Linked DNA regions of Lepisosteus oculatus. The protein of the gene in region 2 interacts with the protein of the main gene of each other region in a pairwise test. Links are inferred from orthologs where the notes say so. Each region holds a gene or a part of one and is shown on either strand. Other genes may lie near its edges.

Region 1 (7,952 bases), on a different chromosome or scaffold from region 2:
TAATTCTCCTTTTCTTTCTTACACTATGTTAGTTTAAGGTCCAAAGAGAAGTACTCATGCAAACATTAATTACACTGTATCTCAAGGCTAGACAGGGCCTGAGAGAAACCTAACTACTGTACTATACCAACAACGTGTGCGCTGTCTGAAAAACTGCACATCACAGATCAGTCCGTCTCAAAGGCCCAACCAGTTATTTTTCTGTAAACGAGATTGAGGAGGTGCAGGAAACTGAACTCCCATTCTTCCTCCATGACACCCGGGAGTGAGAGTACGTACCCAGACCTTCCTGATGTCGTGTAGCGCCGGCAAGGCAGCAGCGGACGGACCGACACTTTACCGCACAGGCAGGTCTGCAGAGAGCAAAGGAAAATACCGGCGCGGTCACTTCATCTGCTCACTTTACTTCCTCGGCTCCTTCCGTACATTTGAGGTTCAAATACTTCACAAATCTTCACAAGTACATTTTATAAAACAATCTTCCTGATTCAGCGTACAGTCTAAGCTATTTAGGGGGGAAAAAGTAAAGTGTAATGGATAGAACAGAATGAACACCGGTGACCTACTGTATATACAGTAATTGTACAAAGAGGCACTAACACCACAACAAATGAGCACTGTAATCAACAGCATTTGTTGCCATTCTAATGCCTCGTGGCTCTGTGGCTCAGGATCTGCGTCTGTGGCTGGAAGGTTGCCGGTTCGTATCCCGCAGCCGGCAGAGGAATCCTACTCCATTGGGCCCCTGAGCAAGGCCCTTAACCCAACCTGCTCCAGGGGCGCCGTATAAATGGCTGACCCTGCGCTCCAACCCCAAGCTTCTCACCCTGTCTGTGTGTCTCATGGAAAGCAAGTTGGGGTATGCGAAAAGACAAATTCCTAATACAAGAAATTGTATATGGCCAATAAAGTGATCTTATCTTATATACAGTGCCTTAAAAAAAATTAATTAAACTACAGATGTTTTTTTAAAGCCAATACAAACTTGAATGCTCAACCTGACACTTTTATGGGCGAAAGACATATAGAAAACATCATATTCCTGTAACAGTTCAAGTAGGGAGCTGCATCAGCATGCACAGGCTGCAAAGGAACAAGTTAAAGGTTTATTCCATGCTGAAAAGAGAAGAAATGAAACACAACGTTTCTGCTGTGAAGCCCTCTTCAGGTGTGTCAAAGGAAAGTGTCAAATCTCAGAGGAAATCCTTTAGGAATGATATTATAATTATGACATCTGTAAAGGAATAAGAGATGGTTAGAAAGCCTGGTCTTGGAACAGACTGCTGTGAAGAGACGGAATGCTGGTTTAGTGAGAAAAGGGGGCAGGCAGCCCAGGGAGGAGGAGAAGGAATGAAGAAGATACAGTATCTAGAAAAAGATATTCCTGTAATTAACATTTTCGTTTTGAATTTCTTTGCCGTTTTTGCTCACATGTACATGTAACTTATTCACTCATAAATTTCTTCACTTACAATCAAGATTTGATTAGCAGTGTTCAAAAAAATCTTCATACACAATTCATACTCAGCAAAATTAGGTATTACTGGAAGGGATGTGAATACTTCTGCAAGGCACCGTATATGGGGCACCTAGACTGCTGAGCTCACTAAATGTATCAGCTATCGAGTTTCATAATACACTACATATTTAGTGAGCAAGGTGTATATTAAAATATGCCACAGGGATACTTGGCAATTTTTGATGGCAGCACTTGTGTTTATCTCTTTTATACGAAATAAAGGGAAAATCAGATGCAACACTCTCATAAAACACTTTAAAGTGGGAAAGCAGAATAAAGCTGAATCACAACTAGTTTATCGTACTATCCCAGTTTATTTTACTTTTAGGGAATATGTTTGATGTGTTATGCAAACCTAATTTTACACCGATCGAGGTCGACAGCTTTCATGAGCATCAACCTTGTCTGAAAAGCAAAACAGAGTATTTCAAAATCTCCAATAACAAAAAGACATTTGGAGCTGCAATTTAAAATCATTTAGTTTTACAAAACAGTATTAAGAGACCTACTCACTAGGGGTAAAACAATGCATTATAGGAGTAGCACGATCATTTCAAGTTACGCTATGAAATCATGTCTCCCTAAATCAGAACTTGGTAATGTAAATACATTTCCCCTGTCTCTTACACCCAGGTATAGCCAATGTCGAAACCCCGATTCATATACATGTTCCGCTGGCTAATGAAAAAAAGTTTTAACAAGGTCATGTCCTTCTGTCATCCAAAACGTTCAGATCCTTTCATGCAACTGCGCTTCTTATTACGATTAACTGAGCACTTAATTAACGCCAAACATCATTACGCTGTTTGTACTACATACTAGCAGCATTTTCTTAAAACAAAAATCGTATCAGCACGAAGAAATTACAGTTTGACATTGATGAAGCCACTCCTCGCAAATTTAATTCCCACTTTACTTTCCAAACTACTTCAAAGCCGGGCGCTTGATCCCACCTTATTCATTTTTGAAGACACTTATTGGATAACATCTATGTCGATCCTGGAATGTTCTGCGCTAATTCGTTCATCACTGCCGTCAATCATGTAAAAATGACACACCGTGCCCAGCCTAATAACGTGCTGTGCGTCATTTTACATGCACCATAGAAATTAAACCACTTTAGAAAATGCAAAAGAACGATAGCTCGGAAAGCATTTTTACTTCAATCTTACGGTTTTTAGAATTTCTATCACACATTGAGGCAAGAAAACTCCCCTATTGTATCAATAAATGCACGTCTAACAGGCCTCTTAAGAGTCGGATCAGTGAATGACAGGACCGACTTTCGTTTGTAAGAAACGGACTTACTTGAGCTGCAGCACTGGCTGCTTTTCCACAGACGCGCAGCATTGTTGTTGATATACTTTTAGAGTCGTTGCGAGCTGTAAAGGATTACGATCCCTCTTTAGTTAAACATGATAGGTACGTTCAGCCTCGAAAGCGCTTTTCCCGGACAACCCACACCGCCTCTCCAGCCCCCTTTGCCCTCTGACAGAGTAAGATGGCACATGCGCAGTTCTCCTGAACCGAGGGGCCCGCAAAGAGCAACTCCTAGGGGGCGGGTCTACGACGGCCGAGTGACTTGCGGGAAAGCCAATGAGAGCCCCAAGATCTGGGACCGGGCCCTTTCCCGAGCACATGGTGAGTCAGAGCTGTGTGCATGGGCCAGTCGCCACAAGGTTGTTACTGAGACAAAATTAAATTGAAGCAGTTTTTTCCGCCCAAGGTTATACATCTGTTTTACATATTGTAAAAGGAAAATCCGTGTTAAGAATACAAAAATAATTCAATATACAGTAGTCATTGGCATTATTTAGTGTTTTCAAAATGCAGATCTTTGTAGCTGCCTTTTGTGCAGGGTGATGAAATTTACATTAGAATAGTCAACTTTTTTTAGACATTTAGCAGCATGTTCCAGCACAAGAACACCAGAGGGATGGTGTTTAATGTTGTCAAGGCTAGCATAACACATTGTACAATATGTTACTGTGTGCCAGTCTGTTATGTGTTAACAATTACTTTAGACTTGAAGGTGTCTTAGTTCTGTGCTGTTGGGTTATTTAAGATTAGCCTGTAGGTTTTAGAAATAACTGACTTTAAGTTTACTTAAACTAGCGATGACACATTTGATTGAGTTGATGTTTCCTTACACCACCTTACAGAGCACGTTTTCATGCAGATCACAGTCTCAAAAAAGTAAAAATAACATTACAGAGAGAAAGTTATAAACTATTCAGAAATGGCCAGCAATCAATGTATTTCAAAAATACTTTATGCATGGTATCAACCATAGATAAAAAAGCTCAATACTAAGCATTTTAAAGTTCAAGCATTTAAAGAATTTTTAAACACAAATATAAAAATATGTGCAGTATATAGAATATATAAGAATTTGTAAGCAATCCTTATATTTGCAAAGGTGCAATACATAAGGGAAGACACTCTGAATTAAGACATAACACTGAGCTAAAAGAGGCTGCTACATGAGAACAAATAATAATAGCATTTTATTCAAAAGTGCTTTTAAAAAACTCAAAGTGCTAAGCAAAAGAACAAGTACCATGTTATAATAGAAAATAGCTGGCATATGATAGGAAACAACAAGACTAGGCTTCTGGTATTAGACCTGACCTCAAGACAGAGACATCTGAACAGTGGACATAACTTTGAAAACAAGTGGAGAAAGAAAAGGAATAAAAACTCTGGGTAGAAGACAACACACTCATGTGGGAATGTTTGTAACTTCTGTGGAGACCAGAGGATACATGAGGGACTATAGGATCCACTTTAGGAATCACATTCATAAGAATGCCTCTTGAGGTCTTTTTTTTCTTTTCTCTATTTCTGTTTCTTCTGACTCCACCTCCCTCTCCCTCACCCTCTCCCTCCCCTCCTCATCTGCCAAGAAGCTCTGTGTCATTCTTGCCTCTTCTACCTACTGTTTAAAGCACATTTCTCCTCTCTGGTGCCTTCCTCTTGAGCATCCTTCACAGAATTCATCCTTTCCTTACCAGCTATTCCACACAACCTCCACTCCAAGCCCTGGTACTGTCCTATAGACTACTGTCATTCCCTCTTGGATGTCCTCCAAGCTAAAACTGCAGCTCAACCAGAATTCCTCCCTTTTCTCATGCTCTTTCCTTACTCCAGTCCCAACACAAATCAAAACCATAGTCCACATTGTCAACTACTGTTTCAACCATGCTGGGATTTTCAATCTTCTTTCTCTCCCTAAACTCCCACCCTCTGTCTCTACTCCTTTTTAGCCATGTGAATATTATTGTGAAAAGTAAAATTAAAATTCACCAGTATATCTTCAAATATCCAGTCACTTATTCTTGAGTTACAATTACCGAAACAGCCCATTCCTTATTAATTCCTCGCAGACTATTGCATTTCTCTGCTTGCCTCAGTGCCAATACTATACACTGCCTCTCATCCGGAATAGTCTGTTTTTCTCATGCTTTAAACTTTAAAACCATATGAATTCGCCCATTATTGATAATAGCACCAAAATAATGATATTTTTTTCCACATCACGTCCCTCTTGCCTACCCGCACTATTTGTTCTAACTGATGTGCCGTAGTTTGGAGGTCGTGGTGGGGATTAAAGATGGCGGCCACCTTGAGAAGATGTGGTGTGTAAATTTTCGATTTATATTTCCTAAAACATTATTTGTTGATGATTGTAACTGTGGTTATCATCAAATCAAATATTTTTTTTTAATTTATACTGACGTATAACATTCTTCGGGGGGACAGAGCTATGAATTCATTTGTGATTTGTAATTTACTGTAGGTTGTAGGTTCTTATATGTTTTGCATTTCCTCATTAAGATCACTAGAATATTGCACTTGCAGACTCATCTGGAGTATGTTATTTTTATGTTACATACCAGTTCAGTCATGTTTGTATGTGCATGTTACTACTGTTTTGACACGGAAGCTGGTCCAAGAAATTATAGCGGCTTACTATAATTAAGTTTATAAGTGAATATTGCGTTATTTAGGGTGAAATTTGTACAACCTACACAACAAAACTATGTCTATAGCTATGACTTAGGACCCGTTTAGTTATAAATGCGTTTAGATAGCTGGAAGGTTGCTGCTGGAAGAGGTGTTAGTGGGGCCAGCAGATCGCGCTCACCCTGTGGTCTATGTGGGTCCTAATGCCCCAGTATAGTGACGGGGACACTACTGTAAAAAAAAACAGGTGCCATCCTTCGGATGAGACGTAAAACCGAGGTTCTGACTCTCTGTGGTCATTAAAAATCCCAGGGTGTTTCTCGAAAAGAGTAGGGGTGTAACCCTGGCGTCCTGGCAAAATTTCCCATTGGCCCTTACCAATCATGGCCTCCTAATAATCCCCCTCTATGAATTGGCTACATTACTCTGTTCTCCTCCCCACTGATAGCTGGTGTGTGGTGAGCGTTCTGGCGCACTATGGCTGCCGTTGCATCATCCAGGTGGGGCTGCACATTGGTGGTGGTGGAGGGGAGTCCCCATTACCTGTAAAGCGCTTTGAGTGGAGTGTCCAGAAAAGCGCTATATAAATGCAAGCAATTATTATTATTAATTATAGCTGAGATTGGGCAATCCATTGAATATTAGAATAGGTGCCACCTCTTTTTACTGCACTAGTTTCTGAAAAAAATATACATGATTCAAAAACCAGTGGAGTAATGGCTGTATTTAGAAGAATGTAATAGATGCAGGGTTATGAAGTCCTCCAATTATTGTTAACATTTTGCTTTGCAAGGAAAATGAGTGCAACAAGACTTGTTTGACAAGATTTTCCTTATATACAACTTTTTATTTTGAAGCAAAGATTAAGACTTGTATGGGTTAATAATACATTTAGTAAGTTTTTTCTTATGCTGCTGTCATCTAAGTTAATAGCATTCCTTGGTCACTGGATGCAGTGTTTCTAATATATGTCCTTGTACACAGGTTTGCTGAGGCCCCTGGTTCCACTTGTAGCTCAGGGCTGTGCTCGGGGGGCACCTGGCCTTGCTGCACAGATGTCCAGCAAGTTCTCAACTCTCCACCTGAGTCGCCCCCTCCCAAGACCCACACTCAGCTCCTCTGGCTGGGTCTCAGGAGTTGGCCAGAATCATATCCTGCCTTCAGATGGCATTATCCAGAGGTAAGTAGGGATGTGTGTGGGAGGGTATCCCAGCTCAGTTATCTGTTTCTCTCGGACAAACATGTATTGACATGAGTTGCAGTTCTGATCACTGCATCAATGCTGTTGTTTGATGAAGAGTGCCAGAAGCTAGATCTATATACCATATTTCTTCAATTTCATTAGCTATAGAAGATAGGACTAACAGTCTTTTCCCATTCGCCTCTGTCCTGTCCCAAAGGGAGTAGATATTTGAGCAAAAAGGAAGTATTTCATTTTTTGAAAGCATGTTAGTAACTGTTTTTTTACAGCAAATGTATTTTAAGTGCTGATGAGACTTCTGGTAAATACTTAAGCATACAAGCAAGAAATGTCTATGCCAGGACATAAATCAGCAAGGAAAGGATCTCAGCATTACTGTGCACAAATGCTGATGGCTCACAGATTTACATCTATAGGTGTCGGCAAGTCATGGTGATCAAGGGTCCTCAGAGATCAATTGAATGTGCTTTCAGTAGTCTATTACCATTCCAAAAAAGCCTGGTTTATTTCTGATATATGTATTTCCACAAGTGTTTTTTTTTAAGCTTGAAATATCTCATTGGTAATTTAATGGAGAGCTGGCAACACCAGACACCCCCTTTCCCCAGCAATAGTCTGGAAAAGCAAGGGTGTGCTGTACTATGATACGATGCCATGTATATAAGCAATACAGTGCACTAATATATTAAAGGACAGTGCAGTTATGTATTTACATATTCAGAAAGCATATATACTGTTGGAAAGAAGAAACGCAACATTTTCTGGTATGAGAATACTATAGTTATAGCTTATGTAGCTCTGCTCTCCTCCCCACTGATAGCTGATGTGTGGTGAGCGTTCTGGCACACTATGGCTGCAGTCCTGTCATCCAGGTGGATGCTGCACATTGGTGGTGGTGGAGGAGAGTCCCCATTACCTGTAAAGCACCTTGATTGGAGTGTCCAGAAAATGCTATATGAGTGTAAAGATTATTATTATTATTTTTATTGTTGCTGTTGTACTTGTTGTTGTTGTTAACACACAAGTAACTCAAACAGATGAAACAAGTAAACCAGAGTTTTTTTTTGTCTGGAAATAGGATTTTATGAGTTATTATTATTATTATTATTATTATTATTATTATTATTATTATTATTATTATGTACTTTCACAATAAGTTGTCAATTTGTTTTATAGCCCTCTCACCAGCAATACAGCTTGTGCAGTGAGGCATTCCCAATCACACGAAAGCTTGTTAAGTGCACTTTTACTCGAGGTCCAGATGGA
Region 2 (7,297 bases):
GGAGAGGATGTGGCTGTAACTATTGTGCTGCATCACGTCACTGAGGTAACTGTTGTCATGCCAATGCTGAAATTACCAGAATGATCACAAGAGGCTGGCACATGTCCAGAGAAGGCAATCAAGGAGCAGATTATCAAGAGCACTGTGGTCTAAAATTTCTGAAAGTACATAAGATTACCCAGGACAGATCACACAACGATTTGCTGGCCATTCAAATACTCACGAAATATGATGCATATTCATAAAAGTACTGCATTGACATTCGCTACATGTCTGAGCTTCAGCAGTGCAGAAGCAGAGGGAAGACACTGTCTGCATTTAGAGAGATCAAAGAACTCCCTCCAGAAGCACCGCTTCAAATAATGTTATGTAACCAAATTTTATACATAAATGTGGTCATAAGATTCAATTTTATACTAATGCCGACAGATAATACTAAGGGAGGTTAATGTCTAAATGATTGTCAGGGTTTTACTATTGTCCTGGTATCATTTCTTGTTTAAAGATCACTCCTTCCCCTTCTACAGCTATCTCACCTACATTAGAATTCATAAACCATCTGGAATGCGTCGCCCAACAAGATGCTTTGACATGGGCTAAAAAAAACCTTAGAAAAATCACAAACCCCACTTCACGTTGCCTGATCAGACATAATACTCCAAGGAAAGTCACAGTGAAAATTCTTTATCCAGCTGCACTATTTTTTAGCACACTGACAGCAGAGTGAAGGATGTGAAGATGTCACTGAATGGCAGTACTGGGACGTCTACCTGAAAGCTAAAGGGCATGTACTCCTCATAGACATCCTGCCAGAGCTCCTCTAGTTCGGACAGCTCCAAGTGCATGTCCTGCTGAATTCTGGGAGGCACCATCTCTTGAAATTTGGCGGGAAATTCGGAGCCAGTGCCGTAAGGTGTCCTGAGTGTCAAGTCGGCAAAGGCCATTTTGCTGTTAGGTCCTGGGGGAACAGATTTAACCAGGACTGGCAGTTTGCTTCCCCGTGGGCTCTGGATGGGCCTGTACTCAACGTTTTTCACCAGGCTGAGAGCCAAGTCCAGCCTGTTGGCCTGCGCGGCCATATTTAGCTGCTGCGGGGCCTCTTCCGGCCAGGAATCAAACTTCTGGTCCTCTCTCATCTCTCTCTCTGCCTCTTCGTCCTTGGCGGCGGGCTGCCCCATCTCAACAGCCGTGTCCAGGGACTCCACCGACGAGCCGGGACTCATTCTCTCCGAAACGTCCGCGTCTTCCCCGCTCGTCTCGCCCACCGACTCGGGCACGGTGGCGACGGCCGCCGGCTCCTCTCCGCACACGCTGCTCACGACGCTGGCCGAGTACCGCGTGGAAGGCCCGCAGGAGATGCTCCGGGCCAGCTTCCTGGGCACCTTGCAGACGGCTTCGTAGTCCGAGTCGGCGACGCGCAGAGCCGCGCAACCGCGGCACCTCCTCGAGCGGTGGACGGAGATCTCGGAGGCGTGGCAGTGGTGGTGAGGGTCCGCCGTTTGCTCCTCGAGCTCGGCCCAGGATTCATAGCCCGAATAGGCGAAGTCCTCCTGGAGCAGAGCGCTGTACCGGAGGTCAGGCAAGCCGGAGATGTCCACCGTGCCGTCTCCGGCCTTGCCCTCCGGGCCCGCCTCGTCGCCGTTGGTCCTGCGGTACAGGCTCCCGATGCACTGCCTAAGCCGCTCCTTCTCCTGCAGCAGCCGCTGCAGCCGCTCGATGGACAGCGCCTCGATCCGCGCGATCACCGTGTCGAAGCGGTACACGCGGTCCAGCATGAAGGCGCACTTGCTGCAGGCGAACTCGCGCTTGCCGTCCCGGGTCAGCTCCCGGCCCAGCACGTGGGACAGCAGCACCTGCAGGTTGAGCTTGGAGGCCGTGTGGAAGATCCAGCGGCGCTGGTTGCCGCAGAGCTCCCGGGCGCAGATCCGGCAAGCGTCCTTCATCCTGGAATCCAGCATGGGCGCCCCCTAGCGGCAGGGAGGTCTCAGCCAAAGTAGGTCTCTTGAGCAGCACAAATCTGATTTGTGAAAGTTTGGTTTCAGAGCCAGCAATGTGCAATTAAACAGTGTAATATACAGTCCAATTTTAAAAGTTATTTTCCTGACAATATAAATTAAGTGGACTTTTAGCCTGAAAATACTCAAGCTTATCAAACTTATTTGAGCAATTCAGTGTTTAGTCGTTCATGTGCAAAAGATTCCTCCCAGTGAAGCTGCGAATTGTAATTGTTCGATGGAAAACAGAGATAAATGGCCATTTACGACTTGAAGCGAGATTTTAAACAGGCTGAATTAAATGAGATCAACAGCTGCTTTTCATACTGATAACCGCAATCAGTAATCAAAGACCCCTTCCTGCAAAGGCTCAATATCATCAGTGTACCGCTGGAATCGAGGCCAACATCCCGGCAGAGCATCTCCACGCAAATACGCACAAAATACTTTAAAGCTACCTTGGGTACCAAGACAGAAAAGGCTCAAAATCGCGTTGCTTGCACTAAAATAACACTATTACATAGGAAAGCCGCTTCGTGTTTTTAATCTTAATATTGGAAGAGACAAATAACTAAAAGGTGAAATTCAAAACAGACCCCCTTCTGTTGTTACGCTGCCAGTCCATTTTTAATTTTGTAATGGAAATCCTGATGCAATAGCGTGAAGGATTAAAGGAACATCCAATTGCGCGTTTAAGACAGCGTTTTCCGGGAAAACAAAACCATTATTTGTCACATCTTAGGAACGGATTTCCCGAACACGCGATGCCTGCGCATCTGCCCGATGAAGCTCAGCCTAATCAAAGGGCTCGCAGTATCATCACCGCCGCTGCCGTGTAATCCGACTTCAGTAACACTCCCGAGATCCACGGTCCCCGGACGAAGGTGAAAGTGATTTGAGGAATCCGAGCCTTATCTACAAATTACGGACGTCCCGTTGTATTTGCGCTTCATTATTTACACGCACTTCGCCCGGATAACGAGGCTGCAGCCCGAAATAGGTCCATTGAAAAGCTCGCAATGATGTGGCAAGACTGTAACCAGCTAGCGCTGCTATGGCGGGACTCACCATTTGAAAAGAAAAATAGGGGTATCTGTTCTAGCAATCATTCCCCAGAACCACAGGAATGAACGTGTTTGAAAAAGACTCAAGAGACCCTCTAAAGACATAATATCACAAAATATTTTTTTTCACTCGATTTGTTAATAAGTGTATAAAATGAAATCTGCTCCCCATTCTACAACACTGCCCCTCCTGCGAAACGTTGGTTCAGCCCGAGTGCAAGTAATTTGCATGGAGCCCTGTGCGAGCAGTGATCTGGCGTTCACGCCGGCAGAGGTGAAACGCTGAATTCTCCGGTTTAAAGGTGAAGGTCGCGTTAAACTGGCTCCCTCTGTTCGCTCAAAACATGCTTTATGCAGCCCTTCGGAAATTTGTCCTTAAAACGTGGAAAGCGTTAATGACTTCTTTTAGTAGAATACCCCCGAGTAAATACTGTTGAATAAACGTCGTTTCAGTTAAGAATCTTGAGAAGAAAAATTAAAATTACGCCAGTGTACCGAGACATTTTATATACAAGTGGATGTGGGTTTCAAAATCATCCAGTGTATCAGCAGGGGGGTGTTAAGCCAGGAGTCCTGTCTGAACTCCACTCTGGGCTTGTACAATATAGCCTCCTTCAAGCAAAGGCCGATTGCAATTTCTCACAGAATAGCTGTGTTCTCTTTCGTCTTTTTTTCAGCATGGAATAAACCTATTACTTGTTCCTTTGCAGCCTACGCATGCTGACGCAGCTACCCACCTGAAAATACCCATATACTTTATGCGCAAGTAAATTAATAATTAACTGAAAAACTAGGAAAACTAGTTACTAGTTATTGTTATTTAAGAGAGAATTACTGGACGTCACTATGAATCACTGTACTCCACCCATGTGTCTCTTGCAGAAGGCCTTTTGCTAGTAAAAATAAAACGTTCTTACATTTATTAAAAATAGCAGGTCAGACCCTAAACGAACACAAAATGCAGGTCTCCAACGTCAGTCAGAGTACTCTGTTCATCTGGGAGTGTGGTGTTGAGAAAACCAAGCCTACAAATCACATACACGATGACTTGAAATATCAGCTTCAAATATGACTCAAATCTAACTGAGAGAATGAAAGAGTATAAAGCTCTACCAATTGTATTCAAATGACTTCATCTTGTATACGAACACTGGAAAACTTTGAAGGACTTTGAAAAGATGTGCGTCATACTTTGATGCATTTCTATTGTTTTAGTAGGCTTTTAAAGCGGACCGCGTCACCAAAGTACCTTTCTCTAAAGTACCTTTCTTTCTCTAAAATTCTTTAAAGTCTGCATTGTCCTTTAAGAATCATACCCTAGCAGTAATATAGGCATGCCTTCTGAGCTTGCCAGTAAGAATAATTATAGCCAGAGGGACAAGATGAACTGCACTATGCCCTGCAGATCTCACCTGCAAAGCACTGCCCACTGTGACCGACAATTTTGTGCGGTATGACTTTTGCACTCTTTTGTTTTTCCTTGGAAAAGATTCGTACTTTGCCGGAACAACACCACACGCAAATGTGCTTTCAGTTGTTGCTCTGTTGCTTGGGGAGGAGGGGGACAAATACTTTCACAGCTCTGGTAAACTACTGCTTTAAAAGAGGAAACACAGCTTTGATGACCAGTATCTTTGTCAGTCTGCGTGAGCCCTTGAGGTGCATTAATACTTAACAGTGGTCACAAAGTCTACAGTGGTTACATTCTTGTTACAAAGGTTAGCCATTCCATTTTTGTTTTCGTTTCCACCATCCAAGAGCATCTGTAGTGCTATTAGGGCTTTTCCCCCAATAGCTCAACTATGTCTTGTGTTTTTGAAAGACAGGGGAAATCATTCACCTATAGTGCACAGATAGCCAGCAGGGCAAGAACACAGGGAGGGAATCGATTTAAACAACCTTTCCCTCTTGCCGGGCCTAGTCAGCTGTGTCCATAGGCTTCCTCCCTCCCAACAGTGAGAGAAGTGACAGCCTGGCTGTGAAAGGCCACATGTTGTGTGCAGAGCTGTGAGCAAACTCCTAAACAATGGGCTGACTTGGCACACACACAGACGCATGGGACCCACAGCAGGGACAGTCTGGACACTTGTGTCTCAGCGGGGGGGTGGCTGATGGCTGTAAATGAATAACAATAGCCAGAATCTCGGCATTAATAATAATAATAATAATAATAATTATAATTGCTTACACTTATATAGTGCTTTTCTGGACACTCCCCTCAAAGCGCTTTACAGGTAATGGGGACTCCCCTCCACCACCACCACCACATTAGCCATTCCTCTTTGTCCAACATCACTATTGAGAGGAAAACCTGGAATGAAGTTCCACTGTATCTAAACTTTGAATTACAGTGCAACGCAGACTAAAATAACTACCCCCCCAACAACGTTGGTAAAAATGACATATAATGACTAAGTAAATGACAAATATCTTTAAAATGCCATGACTATGAAAGGTGATGAAGACAAAGAGAGATTTCCATTTTTAAAAAACCAATAAAAATGAAATAATTAGGACAGAATTACCCCCCCAAAGGATTTGACTGCAGAAAAATGACCCTGATGTGCATATATAAACACATGTACCACCCGCTATACGTAATGTATGTCTGTTCATAAATAAAACAGGTTTCATTTTTTCACCAGTTAATCTTAAACCTGGATGTAAATATTAATCTCTCATTACAATAAATTCCATTTTTCATAATGAAAAAGTGATTATTTACATTAATACAGCTTGTTGGGACGTCACTGTTCTTACACAGTTTAGAATAAATTATAACATCTCTGCATGTTTACTCTTAAACTGGAACAGCCACAAGAGAGACGTATGAGCTTTCAACAGCCTTCAACAATAACGAGAACTGCAATTAAAAATCTATTTATTCTAATCAGTGGGAGTTACTAAACCTTACAGTGCAATTAAGGCACTTGATCGTGTTCCTTCAAAAGTGACAGCAACGACACAATGTAACACTGTAAGAAGCCTGGAGACAAAATGGCTAACTGAATGTGATATTAAACTGACTAATCTTCTTTAGTATCTTACCTTCTCAATTTCCAAGTTTAAGCCAGTTAGGTCAAATTTACGCGTCAGTTCCCAAATAAGAATTAATGTATTTTTTTAAAATACCTATAAAGTCAAACTGGTATCACTAAATTCCTATTTAATCAAGTTCCAAGGTTTTCATCACAATAAATATTGTTGAATTTCCTCTGTCTAATGTCACACCCTCTGACCTTGTGAGATTATTTTCTCCTTTTTTGCAGACACTTTTCGGCAATGACAGTCTAAATCAGCAAAGAGACACTTTCAATTACAGCTGGGAAGCATATCTGAGAGGGTGTGGGCATATCGTTAGCTTGTCATCTGTGTCTACAGGGAGTCTTTGTATAATTGGACCCATTTTAGGTTATAAATAAAATGCATTCACAAAAAAAGCATTTAAAATGCATTTATACACATCATTAGAAAACGATAAGGAACCCAAACACTAATCATCATCATCAGTGACAGGGAAAAGGGCTGGGAGAGATATCATTAAAACTAAGGACTTGGATTGAGACATCAGAGGATTTAGAAAGTGCAAAAACCTACACTGATGGATAACGGCGAATGCATTCCAAACAAGAAATAAATATAATAGTTTCGAAGAGTCTTGTTTTTATTTCAGTGCCGTTTTGTGATAACAAATTGATGGATTTTTGTTTTACAAGTCAAAAATATTCCCTTTCCAAGAAATGGCTCAAATTATACTTTAATCATTGTCTCTCTACCTCCTATTGCTTTTGCAGTTGTAGTTGCTTACTTGGTATTTGAAACATTTACTGTAAAAGAGCTGGCTAATTATGAGAACTATGCTTCCTGATTAGGACATCTGTATTTCTCTTGAAACAGATTTACATGTAATAGCCTGAGGGGTGTCAGGAAACTGGGTGTGTCTCAGAGAAGTACTTTACAGTATATTCTAACAGAACTGCTAGTAGAAAACACTACAGTTTATTTCAAGGCAAATATACTAAAAGGGTGCATGATGTGCCTCAATTATTGGAATACATTTAATCTTTAGGAGTAGGGTCTGATATGATTATTCAAATTCCTAGTTTTCTTATTTAAAAAGATATTTTCGGTAAGTAGCTCTATTAGCCAATAGATATAATATTAACATTCTTCCCTTCAGTTTATGTCCAAGTTTGGGTAAATGCTGATGCTATAGCGAAAGCAATGCTAAGATCTTAA

The links. The genes of interacting proteins can lie anywhere in the genome.
Region 1: the proteins of pde4dip (region 2) and immt interact in a two-hybrid assay, tested with the Homo sapiens proteins (2 studies listed by BioGRID and IntAct, with this or other methods). The link is inferred for Lepisosteus oculatus from reciprocal best matches to the Homo sapiens genes PDE4DIP and IMMT.

The regions. Positions count from the first base shown.
Region 1 is NC_090696.1:35,614,520-35,622,471, forward strand, and holds the start of immt (MICOS complex subunit MIC60), read right to left. Parts: upstream 3,023-7,952; 5' UTR 2,870-3,022; coding exon 2,828-2,869; intron 354-2,827; coding exon 280-353; intron 1-279. Other genes in the region: mrpl35 (large ribosomal subunit protein bL35m), read left to right, coding at 5,133-5,157, 6,470-6,665. UniProt on the Homo sapiens protein: Component of the MICOS complex, a large protein complex of the mitochondrial inner membrane that plays crucial roles in the maintenance of crista junctions, inner membrane architecture, and formation of contact sites to the outer membrane.
Region 2 is NC_090704.1:7,911,407-7,918,703, forward strand, and holds the start of pde4dip (myomegalin), read right to left. Parts: upstream 3,002-7,297; 5' UTR 1,959-3,001; coding exon 771-1,958; intron 1-770. UniProt on the Homo sapiens protein: Functions as an anchor sequestering components of the cAMP-dependent pathway to Golgi and/or centrosomes.